3 linked regions of the Drosophila melanogaster genome follow. The protein of the gene in region 3 interacts with the protein of the main gene of each other region in a pairwise test. Each region holds a gene or a part of one and is shown on either strand. Other genes may lie near its edges.

Region 1 (4,485 bases), on a different chromosome or scaffold from region 3:
TGCCTTGTGTTATTTCATTTTGGGGCGTTATTTGCTCAGCGAGACGTGCGACTGCTTTTGACTCTGGCTTCGGGCTTTATGCTCTGCATTCTTTTTTATTTTTTTTTCTTTGACTGCAGGAAGATCGATCTGGCCGATCGGTCGGTGCACCTCATTGACCTCCCTTCATCTTCCAGCTCCCTTGGCCCCTTAGTCCCTTCCGCATCCCAGTCCCCGTCACCTCGGCATTTCTGTTGTTGTGCCCGTTGAACATCTGTCGATCTTGTTTGGCGATAATTTGAATTGAGTTTTCTCTCCAAGTTGGCCAGCCTTCTCACATGTGTAAAAAGTCCAGAGCATTGTGCCATTTTGGTGAGGAGGCTTCCAAGGGGTAATGCCGGTAGGCGTGTTAATAACAGAGCTCATCCTCGTCAAATGAAGGCACACATGTGAAATGACACCAGATCTAGACGGAGTGCAAAGCTTTCCCACAGCACTCAGAAAAAAAAACACAAAACCAAACAGTAGTTCATTTGGGAATCGAAGATACACCTTCTAATACCTACGGGAAATATAATTAAGTTAATAAGTATTAGTATTATTTTTAAATAGTTTACAATGGTGTCCTCCGTACTCCGTAGGCTTAAGCTTGATCCTAAATTTGCAAAAAAAACACTCTTTTTTGGGTGTAGCTTTGCCAGTATTACTTTCCCAGAACGTGTCACCTAAAATGGGGAATGGGAAAGGAGGAGTAAGTGGAGTGGAGTGATGGTGGAAACCAAAAGGAGATTGGGGGAGGAACGGAGTCCCAGAGCCTTGGCCAATCCGCCGAGCACGTTCAAGTCGTTTTCTCGCAATTAACGCGAAATTCTACGAATTGTTTAATTAGAACTCCAGTTTCAGTTCTCGGTGTTCAGGTTGCATCCAAAGGTCTGCAAATCCCGCGTTGCCTGCAACCTCTGCACGTTTGTATCTTTTGGTTCTTGCTGCTTTTCCCTCGCTTGTTTGGGGCTGCATAATCTTTTCTGTAAACATGAAACTCGCGCCATTATATCGAGCCAACGTTGAGAATGGAATGGAATGGTATGGTTGAGGTATGGCTATGGGTATGGGTATGGGGCTCAGATCTTGGCCAGAACCTGGCTGCTTTTTACATGTTCGCTTGTTTTGTGCCGTGTGGCAGCGATTTGAAATTTAAAATCTGTGAATTTGAAGCAGTTTATCGAGACTCCTCGTCCTTTCTTAGGTGTTGTCCCCGATTCGTTTGGCCGATTAAATCATTAAATATTCCGATTGTGTAGCGTTATAATGAAATGTTTTTAACGCTTGTCTGACTTGGAATTATGCAGGGAATTAAAGGATCTCACCCCCCCTTGGCTATCTTTTATTTGCGAAGCTAAGAAACTTCTTTTTATGTGGAACATGTTGGTCTGTTGTCCCCGATAAGCGAAGATGTTCCTGGCATTTGGCGTATTCACTGGGTATTGAAAGATAATACTGTAGACACAGAGGCTTCACATTTTCATCAAATAATTGTCCCATAAAGTTTATTAAGAAGTTTTAATTATGTCACTTTTTATAAACTCATAAGTTGGGTGTTCCTTAAGAATATATATAGAAATATTCAGCTAGCCACCGGTAACAATATTGAAAAGCATAGTGAATGGTTAAAAATGTTTTAAAGGAACAAACAAATATTTTAAAATCACTAGAAAATGTTTAATCTAATTTAAAATTCAACAGCCCGGCGATAATCGATAATCTAATCGATCTTCTAATGTGTCTTCTGCGTAATCGATATGAATAGATACGGGCGAACAGCTGACTCGTTCCATCTTTAGCAAGTACAGGTACTACCTATATATCAACAGATTGTAAACGCGGTTAGGTTTCAAAAGTTATAGTAGTTGTAGTTGTTATGAAAAGCAACTATGTACCTAATAATCATCGCCCTGCTTGCAAGTGTATCCGCTTTAGGCCGCCCAGACTTGGAGGACTACTGCAATGATTCCTATTGCCATTTACTTGGTCGGAGCCGGACGTTTAGCGATAAGAAGGCTACCAAACTAACCGAGTTCCACATGGACTCCTGCGAAAAGAAGGTACTCAAACTTATGCCCAATCTGCGCACCCTGGAGCTGGAGAACTGCGACAGTCCGGACTTCACCATGAACGACCTGAATCAACTGCCGTACCTAACAAGCCTTCAATTGCGACGTGGAAATCTTTTGGGGCTGCACGACGAACACTTCTCGAAGTGGCCAAACATGAAGATCCTTATGCTGGGGGGGAACAACATAACGAGACTATCCAATGAATGCTTTAAAGGCCTAGCTCAGCTCTGGCTGCTGTCTCTGCCGGGGAATGGTATTCAAGGTTTGCCATGGGATGTATTTCAAAACCTACCAGAACTTCTGCATCTCGACCTAAGTGGCAATAGAATCGAAACTCTTCACGAAAACATTTTTACAGGCGTTCCCAAGCTAGAGATGCTGCTACTCAATGGGAATCCCTTGACATGGATAGCGCCTACGTCTCTAAAATCTCTAAGTAACCTACGCCTTTTGGACATGAGCAACTGTGGACCGCTGCCGGATCTTTCATTGCCCGGTGCACATACCTTGATCCTCGACAACAGCGGTGTGCAGCGCCTGGACATTTTGGGCAGTGTCCATAAACTCCAGGCGAGGAAAAACCATATAACCGAGATTAAATTACCCGACAAAAGCTCTGTTATCGAACTGGATTTGCATAGCAATTTACTGACCGCTACCGATATTCCCAAACTTCTAACGGGCATGTGGCGACTGCAACGACTGGATCTATCCGAGAATATCATAGGGATATACGCAGCCGCCGGAAGCGACAATACGAGCGAGCTCTTCATACTTCCCAATCTTATGTATATGAACCTATCGGCAAATCGCCTGACGCGTCTGCACTTCGATTCGCCAATTCCATGGGAAAGGCTTACTCATTTGGACGCTTCGTACAATAGAATATATGCTCCCGCAAAGGTTGGCATTGACGAAGCTTTCAATCTTCAAAGTTTGCATTTGGAGGGAAATTATATTAACAATTTTGAACTTACACCCTGGAAACCTCATCCAAGTCTGAAAGAGGTTGCTCTGTACGATAATAAATTCCAGCCTAAGGGCTATAAAAATATTACAAAGTTCTTCAATGAAATTGGAGTAAACGTCTTAGAGAAAACGCAATACAGTCAATCAAACAACACGACTCCAACTTGTAAGCCGTGCATACCAGATGCCAGAGATTTTCCTACGAGTATAAGCGCCGACACAAACCAAACCATAGATACCAAAGTTAATCCTTTAAGCAACGACACTTATCAATGGAATGTATGGAACGTACTGATGCTAGTTTCCCTGATTGTTTCCTTGTTCGTAAACTCTTTTCTAATCGTGAAACTCATTCGTTTGAGAGGAAGAAACCAGTTCACGCAATCATCATCGGTACCTGCCATAATCGAAATGTTTTCAAACGAATCTGATGATGAAATTATCCTGTAATATAATCATTCTACTTAACATGTATATATTTAAACTTTTCCTTAAATAATAATAAAGAATCTCTTGAGTTTTTCCTACCATGCACATTTAAATAACCGGCTACTCATTTGGATGTGCCTACATGCTGAATGATATATATATACAATATATACTACTATAACGAATAATTGAAATGCATCAAATTTAAACATCAATTATTACATTTTATTTTCCAGGGCCACATCTATTTTGAACACAAGCATTTCCCCAATGGTTTGTAAACGTAGGTTGAAACATCTCAGTATATGTATCTGAAATATGACGGAATTGATTCTGAATTGCCTTATCAACTAACTGAACGAGGCGAAAGCTTTACTTTGTTGCTCTCGGCAAAGCTCCCATGGGTATTTAAATTACCCACTATCAGCAGTGAGTAAAGCTCCACCCGCTGGTCCACAAATCCAGATGATAAGAACATGATGCTGTTGCCGCTTCGATCGGGGCTAGTGCAATATTTGCAGTCGAACAAAGCGCGAGCAAAGTGATACGGAATAACATGCATTTTTACAAGTACATTTTACTCGGTATTTGCGGCTTAACGGTAAGCGATGCACTTGCCGTGTACGATGCCTCCGGACGCTTTAATCTCAGTGCCAGTTGCCCGGATTCCTTCTGCAGCTTAAGTGATCGGCCAGTGGCATACTCTGCGACTCCGGCTCTTCAGCTCCGGGAATTGCACTTGAGAAACTGCAGCCGGCAATCGATCACATGGCTGGTTCTGCAACTTACACCTGGTCTTCGCACCTTGGTTATCCGCAACTGTGCCACCTACCACATTAGCAAGGAGAGTCTGAGGCCAGTGGAAAATCTAACCTCCCTGCAGATGCAGGGCACTAGTCTTGGCGTCCTCCGGGATCAGATCTTTAATGCAGTGCCTCGTTTGGAGATCCTGCAGCTAAGTCAGAACTTCATCCACACGGTTCACGTAGCCGCC
Region 2 (3,507 bases), 2.3 Mb from region 3:
TTCGGCTTGTTTTGGCCCACGCCACATCCGTATAACCACCACTGATCTCTCCATGCGATCCCAAGCCAATAACCATGCAAGGAGCCACGCCGTCGCAATAACGATGAAAGGCTCCAGAATCGTAGCCATGAGTGGACGCTCGGAAAACTAATCTCCAGGATTGCTTGCCCACTCCAACCCAATTATTGAGAACAGTCTGTAGTGCCAGATTGTCATTCTTCAGGATTTGGGATCCGGGAAACATGTTGACCGCTACAGCTAGGCGGGGCTGAAGTCTCTTATCGTTATCCATCATCTTATTGGCATGCAAAGCGGCATAGCGATATCGTTCTAGGGATAGTTCCATAGGTACAGCTCCTGTAGGTTCCACTTCCTCCGCGAAAACTTGGCTATCGATGAGAAGCAGACGCACGTGACCCATTACACCGCTTAAGTGTTGGCAGACACGAGCACGCTCCTCCTCAGTCCAATGTGCAGTGGGTTGGGTGACTCCTGCCTGGTATTTGGCCCAGGATAAAACGCAGCGCCACACTTCCTCCTCTTCCAAGCAGAACTATTGGTAGTTAACAGTTTTGGTAATTAAAGAAATTCAGTAAATTGAGTGGTTATTCATTATAAACTCTTACATAGTCTGAGGAAATAATCTTAATAATGGCATCCTTTGTTAAAGTAAGGAAGGCATTAGTCTTAACGCACTCATTTGCATTTTCCCCTATGTAGATGATGCAGCGTTCCATAAACGAGGCAGCGCATTTGGCACCTGAAATTTAAAGGGAAAGTTTAAAATTAATTCCTTGTTTTTTAAAGACACTCAACGGCTTTTACCTTGAGACAGCATCCTATTCTATATGTCCTGAAATCGGATCGTATTTGCTACCTTACCCATTAGAAACACTTGATTACAGAAAGTCTACCATTTATTTCAACATTCGTCTTCAGATATCGGCTTTACATTTATTTTACTTATATTAAGGGCGTTCAGCGTTTGCAGGTGGAATTCGAAGGATTCGCAGGATGGCCGCTGAGTCGCCTAGTCCTTCGTGGGACTGACGTTCTGTATGAGCGTGATGTTGTCGCCCTTGAGCATGATCCTCCCGAGGTTGCGGCGCTGCCGGGTCTTCACATAGACTTCCTCGGCGTCGTCCAGCACCAGATTCATGTACTCATCGAATCCCACAATGTGGCCCTCGATGCGCAGCGATATGTTCTCGTATAACCAAACTTGCACGCGGGACCGGTTCTGCAGGTAACGGAAGATCAGGTTGATGGGCTGCACCATCACCTTCTGCACCTTGGGATTTCCTTTGAACGACATTTTTGCTGATTTCCGACGACTTAATTTGAGTTAAACAAATTTTCGCTTCTTTTTGCCGGCGTCTTCTTTTCGTCCAGGCGATAGGCAGAAATATCGATGGCACAGCACAGATGGTCACACATAATCGCGGCCTACCGAACTATCGACCAGCCTAAAGATACCAAAATGGTAAATCCTCTGGTAGCATAACCATATCGATAGAAACACTATCACAATCGCACTGTTAAGTTTTTGTGGTTGGGCAGAAGTTGTTGCCATTTATTCATAGCTGAATTAAACTATAGTTTATAAAGAAAACCAAACAAATGGCTATGGCTAATGTGGACAAAGGTGAACTTATGGACCAGGTTAAGCAACAGATTGCTGTTGCGAATGCCCAGGAATTGCTCACGCAAATGACCGAAAAGTGCTTCAAAAAATGTGTCAATAAGCCGGGAACTTCCCTCGATTCGTCCGAACAGGCAAGCTATACATATCTTATTTTGCACTATAGAATATGTATTTAAATAGTATTTCATTAATATCCAATTTAGAAATGCATTTCCATGTGCATGGACCGGTTTATGGACTCGTGGAACCTCATTTCTCGGGTGTACGGCCAAAGAATACAACGTGAACAATCCAAGTTCTAAACACACGAATCGGCTTCTGCATTTTGGAGCAGCTTGGGACTAACTATATCTGCCAGCTATTGATTAGTTGTTATATCTAAAGTTTGATAATGCAATAAAAACATGCATTGCGTGTTACGTGATTCTGATAACACAACGTGCATATGTTTTTTCTTATCGATATGTGATGTGGTACAAAAAATACCAAAACTTTCAGAATGGTTAGTCTCAATACATTTGACATAGCATATTATGTAGAATGTATAAAGTGTTTTGGCGCGAATATGCAACTTCACATAATTGCTTACTTTTAAAGGTGTGATTTTCTAAAAGAGCTACTCAATATTACTAACCTGCTTTTTCGTGTATATCCATAACGGCGGTTAAAAATGTGCAGGCATTATCCACCGACAATGTCGATATAACGTGATCCTCGCAGGCAGTTCGTAGCTCAACCACACCGATATCCTGTGCCAATATCATCATTTGAAATACTTGCGAGTCCTGGAGAACCAACTGAAAAATGAATTTTGGTTATAATTTTATTATGTTAGATGTTACTAATAAGTAGTTTTCTTACCTTTGCGGTGTAAACGTACAAGATGAACTGCCTGAATAGTTCCGGATTCACGTGTGGTAATCGTATGGTGGTCGGAGTTGAAGCTCCTGGGGCTGCTGGCGATACTGTGCATCCGGGAATTCGACACACTTCACCTCTCTTCGCAGTCTTGAAGCTCTTGCACCTGAAATCGAATTGAGTGAATGGAAAGGCAAGACAAATTAATTAAGTGACCAACTGGAATACCCGGGATTCCAGCACGCAACATTGTAAGATTCCGAAAAAGGCAACCGTAGGCAATTATCTTATTCCACAGAGAAAAATTATACAGTTATTGGCATTTATAAGATTTTAAGGTATCACCAAAATTTATTAATCTCTTAAGTATTTGTTTGAAAAAACAATTTAACTTACCGAGCCATTAGCATTAATCTATGGGCATATATGCGCTCATCTCTGCCACAAATGAATACCACATCTGCACTATCCTGATCCTCGGAAAGGCGCTGCAGATCCTCGATCAACTGGGGCAGACTCATGATTGATTTTTATTATTAAGTGCGGTATTCTTGGGCTCAAAAAATTGCAATCATTCGTGCAGAAGTGCACGTGTTGCCTTGTCCCTCTGCAAGCACTGGGTTTTGTTATTATTTTGCGATTGGGTTTGTTTATGTTTTCAACTTGGAAACTCTCTTTATTTCTCTCTTTTAATCGCTGGATTCGTGGGAGCGCAGAAACCGGTTCCTGGCTGAAAATTCTTGGCCGACACCAAGCCACAATCGATTTGGCAAACAATATGGCCTGGGAAACAATTGCAACAAGATTAAATGGTATAACTTTTCTACAAATATTATTGTAATAGTAATATTGTGCACTATTTATTTTACACAGCTGCAAACTAAGCGTTTTTTCAAACAATTTCGACCTTTCCTCCGCGAAATCTGATTTTCTTTGACCGCTGGTCGTTCTTCTCGCGATCACGATTTGCTAAAGACTGAAGAAGAGACTTGGGACAGGTTGCT
Region 3 (4,463 bases):
ACACACACTCACACACACGCACATCCCGAGGTGCCCCAAAATCCCCTTTTGGACCCTGTCAGATGATGGCCCACATAATCAGGTCTGACTCGCTGCCATCGTGTAAACAAAACTACAATTAATCAAAGATTTTTACCTAACGGGACTATATTACACGAGGCTTTGGTTAATTGCATAAATAAAACTGGGACGGTCCGGGTGGGTGGAGTAAAGCTTAATTAAGCCTGCTCCACCACCTGCCGACTCCCCATGGACCGGGCAAATAAATAATAAAAACAGAAATTGACACAAACGCACACAATTGTGGGTGGATAGTATGGAATGGGATGGGATGGGCATTGAAACAAACACGGAAATGGTTGCCAGAATAAAGGGACAGAATGGCCAACAAGGAAGTGCAGTGTCCTTAGGCTCTGGGCCAAGGGTGGTGGAGGAGCATAACCATAATACACCCGGGTCAAAGGTTATCGTTACGGGTTCGCTTCACTAAGCTGGCCTTTTATTAACCTTCTCGCAATGGGTTCGCACTATCCACAAATATGAGCTCTTTCACTTCTACGATTTTAATTGTCATATTTAGAAATGCGTGAAACATTTTGTTAATAACTATTAATAACTATTCTTGTTTGTTGGCTATCAAGAGATATATAATATAAACCAAACTACAGTTAAAGCTGCCGATCTTGTAGTTTATTGAGTAACTTGCGAAGGTAAAACAAAGTGGGATCCACCGCCACTAATCAAAATTCGTGTATAATGTGTAGTAGTAGAATTAAAATCATTTTGCGGGCCCAGCAACCGAGGCGATCTCCTCCCGTCCTCCTGCACCAGTCGTCCCCATAGGTCTTGCATGCATTTCAGCGTGAAATGGCGATGGACTAACGAATGTGAGAGCGCTCCAAGGAATTCTAACGACTGCGCCCCGAATCCTGCGGATCGATATTGGACACCCATTGCACGGGATTGATGTAGATGTTGGATATGGTACCGCGCAGCGTGTCAAAGCCCTGATTGAGGGGAACCGGCTTGGCCCGCTTGTCCACCTGTTTCATCCAGTTCTGCCAGGCGCCTTGGCGGCGCTGACGGCGTTCCTCCTCCAGTTTCTGCTTGTTGCACTGCAGTCGGATCAGGCGTTGTTTTTCCTGTTGCTGCTGCTCCCGCTTGGCTTGCTCCCACTTCTGCAGACGGTTCTTTGTGTTCTCGGGAGACACCTTCCTTGTAGGGGCGGTGCTAGAGCTGGAAACCGATCCCAAACTGGAGCTAGAGGTCGAGGATTTCTTTTGCTTTTGCCGCTGCTGCTGCTGCTGCTCCTCCTTGCGACGACACCACTCCTGGAAGTGCTCCTGGGCATATTTCTGTCGCAGTGCTGCCTCCGCCTCCCGCTTTTCGCGCTCCTGTTTGGCAGCCAGCAGATTCTTCTGCTTCTCGGCGGCCTTTCGCGCCTTCCAGTCCTCGAAGGCCTGCGGGCCAGGGCGTTCCTTATGCTCCTCCAGCTGCTTGTAGCACGTGGACGAGTCAGAGACGACGCTGGCCAGGCTCAGAGGGGGCATACCGGTGCATCCATCGGTGGACTGCAGAGCACCGCGGTACATGTCCGACCAGCTGCAGGTGGACATCGAGGATGCGTCATGGTTTTGATTGTTGCCCGAGCTACTCAGGCTGTATGTCCGACTGGAAATCTGGCCCTGGTTAGTCTCCTTTACGGAGGCCTGCTTGTAGAAGGTCCTGCCGCTCAGCGCATCCAGATTGTTATCCTTGCAAAAGGTCCTGGTGTTAATGCTGTGCGATTTTTCCTCCTTGAAAAATGTCCTGCCGCTGATATTGTCCAAATTGTCGACATCCTCACCGCGTTGCGTCACCGTTGGCGTGCAGCTGCCTAAGGAGCTAAGGCTCTGCACATCGTGATCAAAGTTCATCACGGTCTCCGTGTCCGTGGCAGCCGCCTCATCGCCTTTGTTCATGACCCGGTGAAACACATCATCTGCATTCGCTTTATCCTCAACTTTCGCCTTCTCGTCTGTGAAGCTCATTCTGCCATTTAGCAATGCATCGTTGGCCTCCTCCTCATCCAGTTCCTTGCAGAAACTCAAAATGGAATCCGTCTCGCTTTCCGAATTGTCGGCATGATCCCCCAGAGAATCCCCAAAATCCTCATAATCTAGCTGAGGTTCCACCGCTTCACGATCTTCACCCTGGCCAACATACCTCACTGTGGGAGCCCCATAGGTGTGGTTTGTATAGCCCAGCAGCGACTCCGAATCCTCATCACTAATGTCCGACTGGGAAGCTGGACGTACTTTTTCCCGACCAGACACCTGCTGACGATCCACCACCGAGCCATCGCTACTCCGACGCGCTACAAAGGCCATTCCGGCAGTCTGCGAAAGATCGACAAAAGTGGGGGATGTGGAAATTGAATTGGGAAAGATTTCTCTCGAGTTTTCGAGACGATATGTCGTGTCGGCTTTGTGTCTGTAGACTGCTGAAACATAAAATGTACACAACGACTGACAATCAAAGCGTAAGTTCACCGATTGCTGTGGTCGAAAAATAGAGTAAAATATTCCATTTAGAGTCACATCTAAGTATACCAAAGTGTAAAGCTCGTTAGTGTTTTTATGAGAGACTGCATTTTAACATTCTGTTTAATACGTTTAACTAAGAAACCGAAATCATTAAATATGAAAATGGAAATTCATTGAATTTCCGCTCTGACAGGTTACAAATTTGATATCTTTTCCGCCATCACCAGATACCACATGCACACGTATGTGCGTCCGGTCCGGGCACGAGTCCGGTGCAAAATGAAAACATTTTAACTAATGGCAAACAATTACTTAAACAACGAGCCGAATGACGGCGCGAAGGATGAAACCAAAGGTAATTAAAACCCAACACCACACGCATCCTCATCCACATAAACCTCAATTTCAGCGGGTGAATTTTGGGGTGTTGGAGCGAAAAGTCGCCGGCTCAAAAATCGTTTGTTGTCCTATGAGGGCGGCGAGTTCGTTTGTTTCTCTGCCTGCTCTTGGCCAGGTAATGAGCGTCTCTTTCGTTTTTAATGAGTCCTGGCACACATACACACACACGCACATTGAGATAGTGTGGAGCTCACCTGGGTTCCTCCCCCAGACTCAGGTGTAATAAAAAAACTTATCGCCGCTGGCTTTTGGGCGCTCTGGGTCGCGGCGTTTGGCAAACACAATGAAATGATTTTGTACCTCGTTAATTGCTGTATCGTCGTTCACCATCATCTTGGCTCTCAAATTAAGGCTGAACGGTGAGTGACACAATTAAGTTGGCCCTTTTTTCAACGACCTGCCAAATGACTTGTCAAAAAGTGGGCGTGGCTGGGTATGTGGTTGCGTGTGTCATCTACAATAGGCTCAGTGCTCCATTTCCAGAATCAGGTCAAAGATAAAGCTGCTTTAAAGCCGCTAGCCAAAAATAAAAAACTACAGTGAAAGGACTCTGGCTTAAAATCAATATCGATTAATTATTGTAAGCTGCAGGTCTAAGTACACGGTATTCCACGATTTCAATTAAAACAAGTCAGGTTTCTCGACTATCGAACACCCTCTACACAGCTGCTTGGATTGAGATATAGATATGAAAAACAAGAGATAAAGAGGTAAATACTCTTGTCGAGATTGCTGATCAGCGCTACCTGGTGGCGGTTTCCAGACGCCTTAAAACAAACCATGGACCCTCGAAAGATCTAATGGACTTGGGCGATACCCTGCAATCGTTGGAGACCATAACGTACTTAGACTTAAAGTATTTAAATATTTTCTGTTGGATAATAATGTACTGGGAATTGGCGGAGCCAACTGTTGCATTGGCCGATGAAATTCCGACAAGTGGTTAAGCCATTATGAAATGTTTCGGTTACACATTTCAGGCACGCAGCCAATAAAAGTTTTATTTTGAGTTTTAATTATATTTTTAACCCGTGTTATTGTCACGGACGAGCCATTGATTATTGAACGATTGGACGATGCGCTGGTTGTTGGTCTTTGGGCGCCCGTTTAATTAAAAACGTGACAATTTTACCTGTGGCCAGTGCGGCGCATATTTCATACGCCATGTGTGACCTCTGACCCACTCGCAGACTGGCCCGTCGAGTCTACATCCATTTGAAAATATATAAAATGTTGTTTACACTAATAACAAACATTTCACGTTCCGCCGTCGAATGTCGTTACATTTCACTTTCGCCAGCCACAAATTTAATTAAGTGTATGAATATGACGGCGGTGGTGGACGTGGCCACAGGGGATTGTTTTTTTAATCAATGAAGCGTCAAATTGAACTGATTAATTTTGCCTGTTTGTCAAATGAAACATTTTTCTCATATTTTGTTTGCGGCTTTGTGCACGGGCTTTAAAATAAACTTGTTTACGACACTTATTGTTTTAAATCATTTGAAATGTCTTAACAAAACTGTTACTGAAAGCTAT

What was found. Proteins that work in one complex are often made in the same cells at the same time.
Region 1: the proteins of CG18266 (region 3) and CG7800 interact in a two-hybrid assay, tested with the Drosophila melanogaster proteins (one large-scale study listed by BioGRID).
Region 2: the proteins of CG18266 (region 3) and SmE interact in a two-hybrid assay, tested with the Drosophila melanogaster proteins (one large-scale study listed by BioGRID).

What each region holds. Positions count from the first base shown.
Region 1 is NT_033777.3:8,216,151-8,220,635, forward strand, and holds CG7800 (uncharacterized protein), read left to right. Parts: upstream 1-1,806; 5' UTR 1,807-1,910; coding exon 1,911-3,512; 3' UTR 3,513-3,584; downstream 3,585-4,485. Other genes in the region: CG18249 (uncharacterized protein), read left to right, coding at 4,048-4,485.
Region 2 is NT_033779.5:7,884,029-7,887,535, forward strand, and holds SmE (small ribonucleoprotein particle protein SmE), read right to left. Parts: upstream 1,423-3,507; 5' UTR 1,316-1,422; coding exon 1,031-1,315; 3' UTR 902-1,030; downstream 1-901. Other genes in the region: CG7102 (uncharacterized protein), read right to left, coding at 1-553, 627-760, 2,280-2,442, 2,507-2,669, 2,900-3,024; CG34132 (uncharacterized protein), read left to right, coding at 1,621-1,776, 1,849-1,947. UniProt on the Drosophila melanogaster protein: Plays a role in pre-mRNA splicing as a core component of the spliceosomal U1, U2, U4 and U5 small nuclear ribonucleoproteins (snRNPs), the building blocks of the spliceosome.
Region 3 is NT_033779.5:5,594,845-5,599,307, reverse strand, and holds CG18266 (uncharacterized protein), read right to left. Parts: upstream 2,476-4,463; 5' UTR 2,370-2,475; coding exon 909-2,369; 3' UTR 672-908; downstream 1-671.